4 linked regions of the Arabidopsis thaliana genome follow. The protein of the gene in region 1 interacts with the protein of each later gene in a pairwise test. Each region holds a gene or a part of one and is shown in the gene's direction. Other genes may lie near its edges. The genes, in order: AT1G71360, AT5G44920, SUN2 and WIP1.

Region 1 (4,709 bases):
TCGGCCAAAGGCGAGGTCGACGCAGATGAAAACGCCAGGTGTCTCAGAAGAAGGGAGCAATCGAAGCTGGATCTCTCTTTACGCCACGTCATTTTTAGTCAACATCATGTGGGACCCATTTCCTTAACCGTCATTCTCCTTCTCTACCGTTCACTAGTTTCCTAATTTTGAATTTCAATTATTTATTGGATTTTTAATTTTTATGAAGTAATTTCACACTGACAAATATAGTACTGTAACTTATTCAACTATTCAAACTTGCTACTTTGGTTGCTGCTATATACGATAACACTGTTATAGAAAGGTGTATACTCATTGCTCGTTGGTTTTAAATTGGAATACAAACAAATTTCCAGAAGATAAACAAATTATTGAAAGATAACTTATGTCCTAAGTAATTGGTATGATGGTTTTTACTCTGATAATTAAATTAGTGATTTTGGACAAACGGAAAAATCAGGAAATCTTAAAAATATTTGTTTATTTTGTTTGATCGGTTTGTTGTTGCTGAAAGTTTTTGATCGAAAATTTTGTGATTGAATATTTAGAGTTACTTTGTCAAAGTTGGATACCTAATTACCAAATTGCATTTCCAATCTAAATCTAACTTATACATATGTCTGTATGTTTGTAACTAACATAGGAACACATATGTCTTGTTTTAACGCATATATAATTTTATTTTATTTTGTTGTGATGTTTTGTTACAATCTAAAATATGTAATAGAATTTTTGAATACTTTTAATTTAAAATTTTGGGATATTCCTAATGATGATATTAATAGACCAAAATGAAGTAAATCCATTAGGAAAAAGTGATTGGATCCACATATTCGGGAATATGCATTCCTAAGATAAAAGTTCACTTTTCTTTTTAAACAAAAGTTAAAGAGTCCTAGGATTTAAATGATTTTAAAAAGTTTTTTTTTTTAAATTACTTTTCTTCGTAGGAAGAAACTGAATGAATGTGAAACTGGAATAATAATAATTATGCTTTCTGGAGATATAATAGTTTGAATTGAATACTATAACCAAATAAATATAAGGCCAATACTATAGTGGCTATAACTACTAAACTACATCCATGTCCATTAACCCCACAAATGAATTGGCAACCTCCCCATATGTTAATTTCTATACCCAAATCAAATCAAATTTGGAAAAAACAAAAAAATGTTCATGTACAAAAATATTTAAACGTAGGAAATTTAATAATCAGTTTGAACAACAACAGAGAAGGAAATCTAATAATAATATCTTTAGTCAAAACGTAAAGATAAATATGATAATTTACTTCAATTTAAAATTATTCACTTTACAGCTAAGCACATAATTTTGATTAGAAGGTAAGATATAGTAAGGAAACAAATTTAAAGAAAGTAATTGCAAATTCAAAATTATTGACCGGTACAATCATTTCATGTGTATATTAAATTTGCTCAAAACTCTTCTCACACCCATCTCTGTGTCCATTGTCTTGTCTTTCGCGGATCAGTTCTGTCGACTCTACAGATTCTTCCGCGTTTTTTTCAATTTTCGAAAGTCTCTCTCTTTTTGACTCTTCACCTTTTTTTTTAACACCACAACGGTTAAAAACCCTCGGCTTCTATAAATCCCGTGAAAAAAGTGGGATAGATTGAGGTGCGTTTCATTGATTGTGATGCAGAGACGAGGTAGATCGTCGGAATTTCATCGACCGGGTTTCATTAGATCGGATACTCATCGGAGACGTCGCCGTTGAAAAGGGTTTTGTTACGAAGAAGCCTTCCTTTTCGGTTTGTCTTCCTCAATCACCGATTCGCTTCTCAGGTAAATTCTTACTCCGGCTACTTTCTCCTCAATTCTTCGTCTTTCTACAATTGGATCTGAAAATCATTTGCTGGGTCGTTATCGTTTTTCGATTTCATTGTAAAATTTTGCAGCTTTGACTCAAGTGCTCTGTTGTTATTGCTTGTATTTATGAGATCTTTGTTTCTGTTGTTTAGTTTATACAATTTTGCTTTTAGTTGTGAATCTGATGTGTGTCGTTATGAACAGGTGTGAACAGTATATTAAGTTTTTGTTTGGTGATCTGATCTTATTGGTTGGATGTGAAATGCAAAGATCACGGAGAGCTCTTCTGGTTAGAAGAAGAGTTTCTGAGACTACTTCTAATGGAAGGAATCGCTTCTACAAAGTTTCATTGTCTTTGGTTTTTCTCATATGGGGGCTTGTCTTCTTATCTACATTGTGGATCAGTCATGTTGATGGTGACAAAGGTAACTTTTTGAGTTCCTTATTTGGACAGAATGCAAAACAGTTATTAGAATATGGTTAGAGAACTGAACTTAAGTAATATACGCTCTTAGAGATATGACAATCATGAAGATGTATAGACCATATCTTAAGTGTATCTAAGGCTTACTCTTGGGCATTTGCAGGTAGATCTTTAGTGGATTCAGTTGAAAAAGGTGAACCGGATGATGAAAGGGCAGATGAGACAGCTGAGTCTGTTGATGCAACATCACTAGAGTCTACCTCTGTTCATTCTAATCCTGGATTGAGTTCGGATGTTGATATAGCTGCAGCCGGAGAAAGTAAAGGCTCAGAAACCATCTTGAAGCAATTAGAAGTCGATAACACAATCGTTATCGTAGGAAATGTTACAGAAAGCAAAGACAACGTGCCTATGAAGCAAAGTGAGATAAATAATAACACAGTTCCAGGGAATGATACAGAGACCACTGGTTCAAAGCTTGATCAGCTATCTCGTGCTGTTCCGCTTGGCCTTGATGAGTTCAAGAGCAGAGCGTCCAATTCTAGAGACAAATCTTTGTCAGGCCAAGTAACTGGCGTTATTCATAGGATGGAGCCTGGTGGGAAAGAGTACAATTATGCAGCTGCTTCAAAAGGTGCAAAGGTCTTATCTTCTAACAAGGAAGCAAAAGGAGCTTCAAGCATCATATGCCGGGACAAAGACAAGTATCTCCGAAACCCGTGTTCTACTGAAGGGAAGTTCGTTGTCATAGAACTTTCAGAAGAAACGTTGGTGAACACAATCAAGATTGCAAATTTCGAGCATTACTCTTCCAATCTGAAGGATTTTGAGATTTTGGGGACCTTGGTTTACCCAACTGATACGTGGGTTCATCTAGGGAATTTCACGGCTTTAAACATGAAGCACGAGCAGAACTTTACATTTGCAGATCCCAAATGGGTGAGATATCTAAAGCTAAACTTGCTAAGCCATTACGGTTCAGAATTCTACTGCACCTTGAGTTTACTAGAAGTCTATGGAGTGGACGCTGTGGAGCGAATGCTGGAGGATTTGATATCTATCCAAGACAAGAACATATTGAAACTCCAAGAAGGAGACACTGAGCAGAAAGAGAAGAAGACAATGCAAGCAAAAGAGTCCTTCGAAAGCGATGAAGACAAGAGTAAACAGAAGGAGAAGGAACAAGAAGCCTCACCAGAGAATGCGGTTGTGAAAGATGAAGTATCACTTGAGAAAAGAAAGCTGCCAGATCCGGTGGAAGAGATAAAACATCAACCAGGAAGCAGAATGCCGGGGGACACTGTCTTGAAGATACTGATGCAGAAGATAAGGTCGCTGGACGTGAGCTTATCAGTTCTTGAGAGTTACTTGGAGGAACGGAGCTTGAAATACGGGATGATATTCAAGGAGATGGACCTGGAGGCGAGCAAGAGAGAGAAGGAGGTGGAGACTATGAGACTAGAGGTAGAAGGAATGAAGGAGAGGGAAGAGAATACGAAGAAAGAGGCGATGGAGATGAGAAAGTGGCGGATGAGAGTGGAGACAGAGCTTGAGAAGGCTGAGAATGAGAAAGAGAAAGTGAAGGAGAGGTTAGAGCAAGTGTTGGAAAGACTGGAGTGGATGGAGAAGAAAGGTGTGGTTGTGTTCACAATCTGTGTCGGGTTTGGGACTATAGCAGTTGTAGCCGTGGTTTTTGGTATGGGGATAGTTCGAGCAGAGAAGCAAGGTGGCTTGGCTTGGCTTCTGTTATTGATAAGCTCCACATTCGTTATGTTCATTTTGTCACTTTGATGAGAGAAGAGTTCTCAGTTTTGGTCTTTCTTTTTGTTTTCTAGTTTTTTTCTTACTGTAGAGTTAGCTGAGTCTTCTTTATACCCAATAAAACTATAGAAGTTACCTAGATAAGTTATGATGTGCCTATGAGGTTTCAAATACAAGAGTTTTGTCCGGTTCAATGGAAAAAACTCTTATCAAATCAAAGCTTATACGTAGAAAGAGTTTTCATTGCAGAAAGTTGATTTACAAACAAAACTATTATTCACAGAAAACATTTTCTTATGACCAAAATAATTATAAACATTTTCTTTCAATAATTAACCCTAGCTTCGTCATTGCCACAGAGCAAAGATAGTTTTAAAATTCGAATCCAATCAACCTCTTATACCAATCTCTCACATGTCATCTCCTACTCTTCATAGTTCATCCAAAGTGGGGTTATTTGTCAACGTAACTTCAGCATAAAACTGAGCTTTATACTAGAGAGAAATAAAGTTAGCTATAATCATTTATAAACTGAAGATTGATGGAGGTTTATTAATGGTTAATAAACCTTTCCAAAAATAGGCGTATGCCGCTAAGAACAGAGAAGACACGGTATTCTTTAGTAAAAGGCGAAAGAACAGTTCGCTTTGTCTTCACTGCACAGCTCCGTGACTCTTGAAGGCAAGCTCTC
Region 2 (3,630 bases), on another chromosome or scaffold:
ATCTAATACAAGAATAGTTTAAGGATAGTTTACATTTGTTCATTGAATATAGATGAACAAATATCTAAATATTTGTCCTATATTTCCAATTTTTCCATAAAAAATAATAAAGAAGACAGTTGCCAAGAGTTGACTTTTGAAATGAATTTTTCCTAAAAAAGAAATAAATGCTTTGACTTTTGAAATGAATTGGTCCAAAACAAGAAATGAATCTTTTACTTTTCCAGCTTCTTCTTCTCCATATATTCATGAAGAAAAATTAAAGCAAGAAAGTCTCAACTCTCAACCCTCCCATGGCAGAACCACCACCGTACCAACGTCCTCCTCAAGTATTCATTAGTTTCTATGGAAACGAATCGCGCGACAATTTCATCAAATATCTTGTGTGGGGATTGAGAGACGAGAGAGTCAACGTTTTCGTAGACAGAGCAGAAGCAAATAGGAGAGACATACGAAATATTTCCACAAAGATCGAGGAGTCGAATATCGCGGTCGTCATCTTCTCCAAGAGGTATACAGAGTCAGAGATGTGCTTGAACGAGCTTCAAAAGATGTACGAGCACGTAGAACAAAGCAACCTTAAGGTGATACCTGTCTTCTATGATGTGAGCATAAGCGGTGTAAAGAACCTCGAGGATGAATTCGGTAATCATTTCGAGGAACTGAGGGAGAAATACGCAAACGATCCACTCAAGATCTTGAAGTGGGAGGATTCATTGAGTTCAATAGTAGAGCGGACCGGCTTAACCTCCGAAGACCACGGGTAATTATTCTTTTGATGAAATTTATAAGTAGTGAAAACACAAACTGTTTTGAATTTTCTATGAATTTTTTTTTTAGTCAATTCTTGTTAATTTGTTCTTAGGAAGACTACTTATTTGAGCTCATTTAACGGTTTCTTCCTGACATATGTTTGCAGAACGGGTTTAGGTCTTGTGAGGGCAATCGTCACGGCGGTTAAGAGCGAGCTAATGGACTCTGAAAGACAAAATATTACTAAAGGACAAGTGTTTGTTTTGGCTTCAGCTGCGGTTTTTATCTGTAGTCTCATTGTAGCTCGTTTACTATGCACTGATGTGAAAGTTAATAAAGCTGTTAAGTGTTTACTAGGGTTTCCAGTTTTGGCTGGTATCTTGCACCAGCTTTACTGTCTACGGACCCAACCAAACAGATGATGACCTCTTGATTAATCACCAACTTGTGGTCAAATGGCTTTTGATACGATTGGAGAAGCAAGTAAAGAAAAGAAAGAAGCAGAGGCAGTCAACACCGTTGACTGTGTGTGTTGACTGTGTGATGAGCTGGGAAGGAAAGCAAAGTCTCTGGGCATGACAAAGGGTTTGCGGTTGCAGGCTTGGGAGTATAAATAAGGAGAGATATCGATTTAGAGAATCTATGCTTATTGTTGATTGTTGTTGAATTGTGTGAGTCTTGCATGAGAGACTTGAGAGTTGAGCTAGTGATGTGCTAGTCTCTCTCATATGGTGTACTGAGAGCTGACCTAGTGATGTGCTAGTCTCTCTCGTGTATGGTGTGTTAGTGTGTACTGGTTTGGTTAAGGAATCGGAGGTATCGATATTGGAAACTTAACAGTTTTGCACTGTTTGGCTATAGATTACATCTCTGTTTAGTTGTTTCACTCTTTATAGTTTGTCTTCAAAAACATTATTTACCCGACCCATGACCCAGGATTTAGAGTATTTGGATCCATTGAGACAATAATGTTGTATAATATTAAAGAAAGACTGAGGATAGGCGCAGACTTGGCATCGAGCCACTGATTGGTCTGAAGAATTAAAGAATCGTTTCTCTGTAATGTATTTTAAAGGACAAAGTGAGACAACAAAGTCTCTCACCAACTATATTCACTATTTTTTATTCAGACGAACCTAGACACCATTCCAATGGATGAGCAGGTCCAAGAACCTCTTTCTGATCAGGTGTTTATCAACTTCCGAGGAGATGAGCTGCGCGAAATCTTTGTCAACCATCTAGAGCTGCAATTAAGAAACGCAGGGATCAACGTCTTCATAGACACTAAAGAGCAGAAAGGGAGAAGACTACAATATCTCTTCACAAGGATCAAGAAGTCAAAAATCGCGCTTGCTATCTTCTCCAAGAGGTACTGTGAGTCAAAGTGGTGTTTGGATGAGCTTGTGACGATGAATGAACAGATGAAGGAAAAGAAACTCGTGGTGATTCCAATCTTCTATAACGTAAGATCGGACGATGTAAAAAGAGCAGCCAATCCCGATGGAGAAGGCAATCTTGATGGAGAGTTTTCCCTTCCTTTTAAGCAACTGAAGCAAAACCATGCAGGGGAGCCTGAGAGGGTCGAGGGTTGGGAGCGTGCCCTGAGATCTGTGACAAAAAGAATAGGGTTTTCCCGGTCAAACTCAAAGTACAAGTAATACTTCAAAATACATGTATTCTTGATTATGTTTGGATCTATGCCCGACTGATCTTTGATTAGTAGATCTCTTTGGTAAGGAGTTTTCCGCAAATCCACCAAGGCACCAACCCACTTGACCGAGCGATATATGCCGAAACTTGACCGCTCGAGTTTTCTTGATGATTCTTGTATTATTGATATAACCAAAAAAAAGTAAAAACCTACTTGCATCATCTTCTTCTTTCTCTAACTCATGTTATAATTTTTTTTTTTGCAGACACGATACCGATTTTGTTTTGGATATTGTTAAGGAGGTTAAGAAACAGCTAAACATACCAACTGACAACAGTTGGTCAGCTATAGGAGTTGCTTTCTTGGCTATAACCATCAACTTGATCTTTAGTTTCTTCATTGCCCCTAAGTATCTCCCTGATCAGAAGTTTTTCCAGACTCCTGAATGGTTCATAGGTACTCTGGCAGTTGTTCTTGCGTCGTGGTTTTGGTACAAAAATAACCAGAACAAAGCACCACCTCCTTCATAAGTGGCTTTTGTGCAACTTTATGCTGTTTGTTTGTGTGTTGTTTAAATGGGGTGTTAAAGATCATTTGGTTGCTTTGTACATTTGTGTGTCTCTTTGTTAATAATTGTGTTGTAATTGTCAGTTACTATTTTAAAGAACAAACTTGTGCTTTGTATTACTCTGTTTCTGTTCTCTGTGTAGGCTCTATGACTAGAAATTCTCATTGCCCTAAAAGTCTTTTGCTTCTCCATTGGTTAGCTAATAATGTAAATGGTTGATTTCATCACTTGTGTGGTGGTCTTTGAGTATTAGCAAATTAAAAGATAAAATGTACCTCTCTTTGCTTGAATCTCTCTTGATATTTAACACTCCCAAAGTCAAAACCCACCAGGAAACGCGCATTCTTGATCAAACCCTTGACCCGGAATTAGAGAGTGATGTGGTTTCTCTTGTTGTTCCTATATAAAAAGAAAAGGCTTAGAAAGGCGTACTGAGTCATGTATTTGGGAAAAAACGAAGAACAAAGAATGGTTCTAGTTATAATTTATAAGGACTAAATGATCACATTTCTTTACCTTTCCAGTCTTTGATTCATCATTAATAATGATCACATTTTGTTGCTTAGCATGAGCTTGCTAGGCATTTAACCTTACTAGACACCATGGATGATCCCGGTTTGGTTTGAGCATAAACAAGAACATTGAGGGTCACTTCCAT
Region 3 (4,909 bases), on another chromosome or scaffold:
CTTCCTCTGTTTCACTAGTGAAGAAGCCGGAAAACCAAAACTTTCTCCTCTTTTTGTTTCAGGAAGCACTCGACGGTATCGAGTTTGCCCGAGGAGATGCCAATTCTACTTGGGGATCTGTTCGAGCTAAAATGGGACGCCAAGAACCTTTTGAACTTAAATACGTTGCTATTGGAAATGAAGATTGTGGGAAAACTTACTACAGAGGTTTTGCATTTCTCTATGATCACATCTTGACTTAGATTTTTGTTGAGCATCTTTGACACTAAATGAGATTACAACTTTACAGGAAACTACATTGTGTTCTATGATGCTATCAAGAAAGCCTATCCAGATATCAAAATCATCTCCAACTGCGATGGATCCTCTCATCCACTCGACCACCCAGCTGATTACTATGACTATCACGTAAAATTTTCTATCTTGACAGAAACTGTAACCGTTGTCTTGTGTTCTCTCTTCCGCCTGAAAAAAGTGTTTCCTTTTTGTCACAGATTTACACTTCTGCTAGCAATTTGTTTTCCATGTATCATCAATTTGATCGCACTTCACGCAAAGGTCCAAAGGTGCGGTAATAGATTATAACAAAACTTAATTCCAACAAACACAAGATGAAGCTTTCAGCGTTTTACTCACTCGTGAACTTTGTTTACAGGCTTTTGTCAGTGAATATGCTGTTACTGGAAAAGATGCTGGTACAGGAAGCCTTCTTGCCTCTCTTGCAGAAGCTGCGTTTCTCATTGGTCTTGAAAAGAATAGGTTCCCTTTGAATTTCTCTTCCCAGGCTTTGATCTCAACTAAAAACATCAAATAAGTTAAACATCTTATGACTTTTTGCAGTGACATTGTTGAAATGGCAAGTTATGCTCCACTCTTTGTGAACACAAATGATAGACGGTATCTCTCACTTACTTTTCCGTTCGAATGGTTACTCAGGAAGATAAGGCAATAATCTCAAATTGTTAAATTGGTTTCAGGTGGAACCCTGATGCAATAGTCTTCAACTCCTCTCATCTATATGGAACACCTAGCTATTGGGTTCAACGGTTTTTTGCAGAGTCAAGCGGAGCAACTCTTCTCACTTCAACACTCAAGGGAAACTCTACTTCTCTTGTTGCATCTGCTATCTCTTGGAAAAACAATGGCAAAGATTACATACGCATAAAGGTAAACCGAGTGAAAGATTCAACCGGAGCTCTGATATTGACCCTAAAAAACTGTTTCAAAATCTGTTATTTGCAGGCTGTAAACTTCGGAGCTAACTCAGAAAATATGCAAGTGTTGGTAACTGGATTGGACCCGAACGTGATGAGAGTTTCGGGATCAAAGAAGACAGTACTTACCTCTACCAATGTGATGGATGAAAATTCCTTCTCACAGCCAGAGAAGGTAAAAATCAAGAGATGGAAGAAACATCATTATCATCACAAATTCTGAGTGTTCCCATGTTCTTATTGGTTTTTATTTGCAGGTTGTACCACATGAAAGCTTGCTAGAGTTGGCAGAGGAGGATATGACCGTTGTTCTCCCGCCACATTCCTTTTCTTCATTCGATTTGTTGAAGGAATCTGCAAAGATAAGAATGCCAATCTCTGATTCTTCTTCCCATCAGAAAACTACCACTGTGTGAAGAGAAACAATGACAAGGAAGTATCAACTTTCATGTCAAAAGTCTCTTTGTGGTTCAAATCTAATTACATTCCATAAATGCTTATAACGTACCCTTGTGTATATATAATAATAGTCTGGTGAATAAATTTACTTTCTTTAATCATGAGCTTATCTCGACTCTAGATATCTTGATATGCAAGAATGATGAAGCAACAGTTTCTTCTTAGCATAAAAGAAGATGACGAGGCGTGAAAGTGGGCTGGGCCATTTTATTTCCATTATTGGGCTTTTAAAAGCCCATCATAATGAATTTTGAAAAAAATGGAGGAGCATCAAAACAAATAAAAATGGCGAAACTGAAGAACACACGATTCAGATTTTCAAAATTGAATTTTGTAGTGATCTCTCTCCTATATAAACTTCCTCACTCTTCTTCCATTTCAAATCTCTCTCTCTGTAGTCAAAATTAGGGTTTATTTATTCATAAGGAAGAGCATTTCGAATTCTGTAGTTCAAAATTGAAGATCATGTCGGCGTCAACGGTGTCAATCACCGCTAGTCCTAGGACAATAAGGCGGACGCCGGTTCTCTCCGGTGAGAAGAAATCTAATTTTGATTTCCCGCCGAGCGAATCTCATGCCAATGCGGCAATTGGAGAGTCGTCTGCTGGTACGAACAAGGATCTGATTCGCGCCGAGGCTGCCGGTGAGAGATCCAACACCTACGACGTAGGTCCGGTGACAAGGAAATCAGGATCCACCGCGACGGGGACTAATACAACCACCACGCAGCGTCGGACGCGGAAGTCTCAGGGGAATAAGATAGATAGAGGGAAATGGAAGACAGTGGTTAGGGTATTCGCGAAGCAATTTGGGGCTCTTTTGTTACTTGTTGGATTGATTCAGTTGATTAGGAAATTGACTTTGAAGGATTCGTCTCTGTCTTCTTCGAATTTCCCAATTGAAACGGAAATGGTGCTTTCGGAATTGGAGAGTCGGATTTCTGCAGTTGATGGTTTGGTGAAGACTACGACGAAGATGATGCAGGTTCAAGTTGAGTTTCTTGATAAGAAGATGGATAGTGAATCAAGAGCATTGAGGCAGACGATAGATTCCACATCTTCTGTGTTACATAGTGAGTTGAAGAAGGTAGAGTCTAAGACAGAGAGGTTACAGGTTTCTGTAGATGAGTTAAATGCTAAACCTTTGGTGTCTAGAGAGGAGTTAGAGAGAGTTTACGAGGAGTTGAAGAAGGGTAAGGTCGGTGATTCTGATGTTAACATTGATAAACTGAGGGCTTATGCTCGTGACATAGTGGAGAAAGAGATAGGGAAACATGTTGCAGATGGCCTTGGTCGAGTAGATTATGCGTTAGCGTCTGGTGGAGCTTTTGTAATGGGGCATTCGGATCCGTTTCTTGTTGGAAATGGGCGTAATTGGTTTGGGACAAGCAGGAGACGGGTTCATAGCAAAGCGGTTAAGATGTTAACTCCGAGTTTCGGGGAGCCTGGACAGTGTTTTCCTCTGAAAGGAAGCAATGGATATGTTCTAGTCAGGCTAAGAGCACCAATAATTCCAGAAGCTGTTACTTTGGAACATGTCTCTAAGGTAGTACTAACATCTCAATACTAAACTTTCACAAAATGATTGATTTTTATATGTTAATTTGAGCCTTCAAGAAGGGTTCTCTGTTAAATGTTGTTGGTATTGAGATGCCCTGTACTTCGGATTGGATTGCTGGTGACAATAGGTTATCGAATAGAGGGCAAGAAACTAGTTTTGTGAATTTGAGTTCTTATAGTTTGAGGTTTAGTTTAGGCACTAGCTGTGACAATATGCATTGAGGAGGATTTTACCTATTGTTATTTTCTGCAAATCACTAGCTTTAGCAGTTCCTTTGTCTAATATCAATGCCACTGTGTTGTTGTGCTTTGTTTGGGACATCGTTGACAGAGAAAAGAACCGTATGTATGGGAAGAGCTTGTAAGTTTACAATTAGTGGAACTGTAATATTCACTGTTTACGGATATCCTTAGGAAACAGTAGCTGAAGGGAAATAGTCTCAAGAGTGTGTAATGTGATGGTCACACATTGCTTTCCATCATTGTTCATCCTTGTGATCATTTGTCTGATAAATTTCTTCTTGTCTGACCACTAAAAGGCAATACTAATCTTACGGTTATGTTATGCACCATTTAATCGAACAGGCTGTAGCATATGACAGATCGAGCGCCCCAAAGGATTGCCGTGTATCAGGATGGCTAGGTGACATAGATATGGAGACTGAGACAATGCCCCTTCTTACAGAATTCAGTTACGACTTAGACAGGTCCAATGCACAGACATTCGACATTGCAGACTCTGCTCACTCAGGACTTGTCAACACTGTCAGGCTAGACTTCAATTCCAACCATGGAAGCTCTTCACACACTTGCATCTACCGCTTCAGGGTTCATGGCCGTGAACTAGACTCAGTCTCTGTTGCTCATGCTTGATCTGAAAGTCCACGTCAAACTTTTCTTCTCTTTGTAACATTCCCTCTAATAGATATCTCTCTTCTTTTTTTGTGTTAGTTTATGTGGTGGGAAAGCTTCTCTTAGTCTGTAATCAGAATCATTTGGTTGTATTCGTGATTATTAGCTTCAAATCTGTTTTGGTTCGGTTTATTTGGTCAGGGTATGTATCCTCCGAATTGAATAATATAGATCTTAGTTTGATGTCCGGTTTTGGTTTTGTAACAGAGTTTCAATTTAAGCTTTCACCTAAAACAAATCATACAAATTCTAATAGAGTATACATATTTCATTAGTTGAAACAAATATTGAATTTGGATTATTAATGGTTACCTTGGGTACTTGGTATTACAACGATATGTGATGAATAGGAAGAGTGTGTATATAGATGGACCATAACTTGTTAGTGTGAATTGCGTAATCGACAAAGTGACGACTTCTTCTTCTAGGCTGCACCGTCTTGCCTTGTCTAAAAGCTTCCCAACACATCACATGCAAAATCTACGGTCAAATAATAGATATGAAACCCTCTTCCAAGTCAACACAGCTTGTTTGATTATAAATTAAATTAAATACAAATTCATCTTTGACATGTCTGATTAATGTTAATTTTTTACAGTGTCAACTGGCATAACAAATTGAGCTAAACAAAATTAAGCTCTAAAAATAGCCATTTTTTACGGTTAAATCACATGAAGAAACCTTTCCTAACCAAGTCAACCCATGTTTGGTCGTCGTGACGGTGGACCACCGGCTCCAAAAAAACTCTTCATTTGACCAAAACGA
Region 4 (4,601 bases), on another chromosome or scaffold:
GGGGCTGATGAATCATTCACCAAGAGTGGTATTGATTTGGCAACGCTGTGTAAATTTGAGAAGGTGCCTACGAGGACACGCTCTTCTCTGACTGCAAAAGGCCCAAAGCTTTATTTGAGTCATAATATCAAGGATACCTCTCATAATTCTGGACTTGAAGAAGAAGATCAAACCGAAAATCGATGTGAGACTCGAGGCCAATCATCTGGAAAGGCCGATAGTACTGGTGATGAAAATGACCAAGTTGAAGATTTTGCTCTTGTTCAATATATTGAGAACAGTAAATGTCATAGGTCTAATTCTTTTCCCAGTAGCATTCTCAGGGATAACAGTGAGAAAGAATCAGGATTAGAATTGCCTAATCTGCACAGATCACATTCGGTGGGGAAAGTAGGTGAGAAAAGGCCTGGTGAAGGCAGTGACTTGGAGGAGGGATCAAAAAGACAGAGAGATTGGGTGGCAGTTTCTGAAGCTAATGAACGCTTCAACATGTTTAAAACAAGCGGAAACCAATGCGATCCGGAAGAAGAAGGAAAGACAAGCTCGTTCAACAAAAGACTGATTGACGGTGCTGCTGGAAAAAGGGTCAGCCATGAAAGTCTGGTTAATAACTCTACATACAATAGGACACACACTGGCAGAACAGGTCCAGGGTATGCTGAAGAACATCAGCTGTTTCCTGCTTCGTTTAAGATGTGTGACCTAAATCTAGGGGGAGCGTCGGATGTGAATGATGGGATAAAGGAATCTCGTCAAGCTGTTGATTTTGATCTCTCAATCAGCAGTTCTAGTAAGTCTCTCGAGTTTGGTACGAGTACTCGGATGAGCAATGGTAAAGAGATAGAAGTGATTAATTTGGATGATGATCAAGAAGTGGTAAAGTCCAGCAATGATCCAGGAAGAAAGTACGGCCAAGTCCTACTCTTAACACTTATATATACACACACCTATTACATTTTGGCTAATGGGTTTTCATATCTAACAGGCAAGAAGCTGCTCCATATATGGGCATCGATGACGTCCCAGACTACAATGAAAGACTCATGATGGTAGAGTATCTTGATTCCTTTACTCCAATAAACCAGGGAACCAGTAGTGTCCCACAGAATAACAACACAGTTAGCCTTCAAGACCGAGAGGTACCTACTCTACTTGTCAAGTTTTATGTCACATAGAATGTTTGTTGTTGCTAACAGATCCTGAAAACGTCTCAGGGAGCTATTGGAAATGACCAAGTACCAAATAATACAGACGATGATTCGATCTTCATGTCACTCGGAGAAATACCATTGAGTAAGACCAATATCAAATTCTTTCTCTTTTCTATTTTAGCTTCTTAAAGAGCTGAGATTCATTATGTCTTTGCAATTGTGCAGCATTCTTGCAAGCTTGGGACCAACCTCCAGCTCGAGGCTACGAGAAGCCTTTCTGATTCTCTTTTTTTTTGTTATGTTTCTTCAGTCTGTGTAATGAGTGTGTAGTAGCCCAATTTCGTTTGTGCTAATCTCAATCCTCTCAGATGATGTAAGAATGTGACTTGTGGTGTTTTATGGTTGTATGTACCCTTTGTAATTCTCTGTTTATTCTCACACTGTCCCCATGTTTTAGGTCAGTTCAACAATTTTCTGAAATTGTAATAACCAAAATGATAATTATTAACGGTATATATATGTCGTGTCCAATCTCACGGTCAAAAATGAAGAAGGTGATGCTGAGAGGTCAGGCGATTCCGACACGTGTTATATTCCAACCACCCACACGTAATTTTCAAAAAGGAACAAAATTGATCATGAGGGAAAAAAGAATAAACTTTTTCCCACAAAGAAACTTTCCACATTGAACGAGAGAATTATAGATCTGCGAATCCGATCATTGGATTAGGGTTTTCACTTTTCACCCTCCTTTTTCCATCTCTCTGCTGTATACCCTTCCTTTCTCCAAAAAGACCAAAACTTTGCGATTCAATTCGAAATCTGTGTTCTTCCATTGAGCTGGATTTTCATTTTTGGAATCATTTCTTCTCTTCTTTGATCCGATAGATGGTGGCATGGTAGGAAATTTTAGACCTTTATATTTCTATTTAACCGTCAAGGAACCAATGAATTTGTATAGCTTGTTGAGTTGACTTTTTGATTGTGTATGATCGAATTTGGGATCCTCATTTCGGGTTTTGGGTTATTGATCTGAGCTCCTGTTACTTCTGAAACCGATGTGAATTTGGTGGGGGATAGATTTTTTTGTGGAGTCAATGGATTTGGAGAGTGAAAGCTCTGCACTTGAGTCTGTTGATGATAATGTTTTGATTCAACAAAGTGCCAGCAACGTTTGTGATGATGGTAGGAGTTTGGATAACGGGTCTTGCTCTGATGAGAGTGTGAAACTGCTTTCGACTTCTAATTCTGTTGAACTCGGTAAACCTATGAGTTTTGATTCACCAGGTGATGGTGGTGGTGCTTATTCTCCGGTTTTGAAAGGACAAGGCTTGAGAAAATGGAGGAGGATTAGGAGAGATCTTGTTAAGGACACGTCTGCGAATATGGAGAATAGTAAAGCTCTGAAGAGAGGGTTGTCAGGTGTTGCTCATTCACATGGTAAACAGATGCAGTTTCAGTCACCGGAAGTTGAACAAGAGAGTCAGGGATCTGTTGGGTCTGTTAATATGTTGAAAAGTAGCGGTGATGGTTTTGATATACTTGGGAGTAGTGGTTACGATTCTAGGTTTGTGGCAGGGGTTGGTTTTTCAGCTGGTATGGATTTAGAGATAGATGATGATCGGAGTAGTAAGTCTTCCACGGTTGCAAGAGCTCCCAAGGTTATTAGGTATGAGAAGCCAATGATTAGTTCAGGTCAGGGAGGAAACATTCGTGTAGAGAATAGTAAGAAACATAGAGGAGAAAGTGTCGATTTCGAGAAGGAAAACTCTTATTCCAGCTTGGAATCTGACTCAAGAAAGCAGAGTGGAAGAATGATGGACTACAATGGTGAAAATGGGGAAACGTCAATGAGAAAAGATGATGCGGGAGGAGAAGGCGGAGAGTCGATAAACACGGACAATCGTTACTCAGATGAAATGGATCCATTAACAGAGGCCATCAACGGTTTCTTGGCCTTGCAAGATGCTCTTGAAAAAGGTAGCCATTCTGATTATTTTTTTGCTGCGGATTGTATCTAAACTTGCATTATTTTTACTGCTGTTACATAACTATTTCTTGTTATGAGCCTGCATTATCATGTTGGAATCAACTAATAACATCACATGAACAATGATTATGATGTTTAATGTGACTCTTTATGAAATTTCATTTGCAGAGGTTCAGCAATTCCAGGAGATCGGGAATGAACCAATGCCACAGCATCATGAACAAGTCAGCGAAGCAAATTCACCTCACCCCGAGATTGTAACCCTGGTAAACAATGTTGAACAACTGGAGAACATGCTAGAAGAAACAAGGTCCATGCTTGAGGTGAAAGAATCACACATCCGTGACCTTGAATCCACCACGAACCAAAGCAAACACTCGTGGGGAGGAACAGAGATTGTGGTTGAAGACATCTTCCGGCAGAAGATTGAGGCCGAGATTGAATATCTGATATATTCAAGATCTATCGATAACTTAAACAGTCAGATGAAGTTAATTGATGAACAAGAGTCATTGGCAGAAGAGCAAACCCATGAGACGCTGAATAAGCTAGGAAGAGTACAAACGAAGGCTGCAAATTTTACAAACAGAGCTCAAGACCTGCAAAACGATTGCATAGAAATCACCGGGACCATCAAGAAGAGAGCATGTAAGATCACTTCATACGTTCTTATACAGTTAGTATTGCTGTCAACAGTAGTTTTGTTGCTCCTGTCTCAATTGTTGCCGGAGCCAGATACTGTTGTACCCACATGACTTTTGATTTTTGATGTAAACTGAGTTTTGTTTTGGCTTTTGGCTTTTCTTGTTAACAATTCGGCTATAAGTTTTGCCTCTGGTAATAAAATTAATCAAGTAAGTCTCGCTTCTTCTTTTGTTTATTTTGGAGGTCAAGTATTCTTTACACTTGGACACTTGGTCAGTAACAGAACAATTTGATAATTCTATCTAGTTTGTTAGCTAATATGGTATCAAAATGTAATCACTCTTTGGCTCTTTCAATTTCCTTTGATTGATCAAGTCAACACTAACAAAGCAAAAACAGCGGTTGCAGCAGAGATCAACAGCGAGATAAAACGAGGAGTCGAATCAGCAGTTGAGGCGTTTAGGTTATGTGAATAGAGAGGTGGTAAAGGGCAAACAAGCCCATCTTTCCTTTCTCTGCACTCGTTAGCGAAAAGGCCAGTAGGGTAGTTTCCATAAATATTCATGTAGCTGAACATTGTCTGTGCACAATCACTATTCATGTCGTTGATCTGACTCACGTAAGGACATGCAAATTCTTTAAAAGCAGAGCAACATTCTTTGGCTGGAAACGCTGGACCTTTGCACCTCTTTGTCAAGACCTTGTAGTCCATATACTCAAAGTTCACTTCACATTCTGTTTCCAACCAAACAAAAAACAAGAGTTAGTGTCACACCACTTATATATACTTATCTATACACAAACTTGATACACTG

Evidence for each region.
Region 2: the proteins of AT1G71360 (region 1) and AT5G44920 interact in a protein complementation assay, tested with the Arabidopsis thaliana proteins (one study listed by BioGRID).
Region 3: the proteins of AT1G71360 (region 1) and SUN2 interact in a protein complementation assay, tested with the Arabidopsis thaliana proteins (one study listed by BioGRID).
Region 4: the proteins of AT1G71360 (region 1) and WIP1 interact in a protein complementation assay, tested with the Arabidopsis thaliana proteins (one study listed by BioGRID).

What each region holds. Positions count from the first base shown.
Region 1 is NC_003070.9:26,891,553-26,896,261, reverse strand, and holds AT1G71360 (Galactose-binding protein), read left to right. Parts: upstream 1-2,015; 5' UTR 2,016-2,017; coding exon 2,018-2,258; intron 2,259-2,420; coding exon 2,421-4,048; 3' UTR 4,049-4,186; downstream 4,187-4,709. UniProt on the Arabidopsis thaliana protein: Encodes a member of the mid-SUN subfamily of SUN-domain proteins that is localized to both the nuclear envelope and the ER. It is involved in early seed development and nuclear morphology. [TAIR].
Region 2 is NC_003076.8:18,137,061-18,140,690, forward strand, and holds AT5G44920 (Toll-Interleukin-Resistance (TIR) domain family protein), read left to right. Parts: upstream 1-1,714; 5' UTR 1,715-1,904; coding exon 1,905-2,407; intron 2,408-2,669; coding exon 2,670-2,934; 3' UTR 2,935-3,130; downstream 3,131-3,630. Other genes in the region: AT5G44910 (Toll-Interleukin-Resistance (TIR) domain family protein), read left to right, coding at 294-763, 920-1,175; ARAD2 (Exostosin family protein), read right to left, coding at 3,566-3,630. UniProt on the Arabidopsis thaliana protein: Could play a role in nuclear morphology, specifically nuclear size.
Region 3 is NC_003074.8:3,357,752-3,362,660, reverse strand, and holds SUN2 (SAD1/UNC-84 domain protein 2), read left to right. Parts: upstream 1-1,958; 5' UTR 1,959-2,138; coding exon 2,139-3,218; intron 3,219-3,817; coding exon 3,818-4,105; 3' UTR 4,106-4,373; downstream 4,374-4,909. Other genes in the region: ASD1 (alpha-L-arabinofuranosidase 1), read left to right, coding at 63-207, 290-408, 495-566, 656-759, 841-897, 978-1,167, 1,243-1,389, 1,472-1,630. UniProt on the Arabidopsis thaliana protein: Component of SUN-protein-containing multivariate complexes also called LINC complexes which link the nucleoskeleton and cytoskeleton by providing versatile outer nuclear membrane attachment sites for cytoskeletal filaments.
Region 4 is NC_003075.7:13,363,489-13,368,089, forward strand, and holds WIP1 (WPP domain interacting protein 1), read left to right. Parts: upstream 1-1,794; 5' UTR 1,795-2,248; coding exon 2,249-3,131; intron 3,132-3,309; coding exon 3,310-3,896; 3' UTR 3,897-4,043; downstream 4,044-4,601. Other genes in the region: AT4G26450 (uncharacterized protein), read left to right, coding at 1-905, 986-1,139, 1,215-1,293, 1,377-1,432; LRE (lorelei), read right to left, coding at 4,157-4,521. UniProt on the Arabidopsis thaliana protein: Mediates and enhances the nuclear envelope docking of RANGAP proteins mediated by WIT1 and WIT2 in the undifferentiated cells of root tips.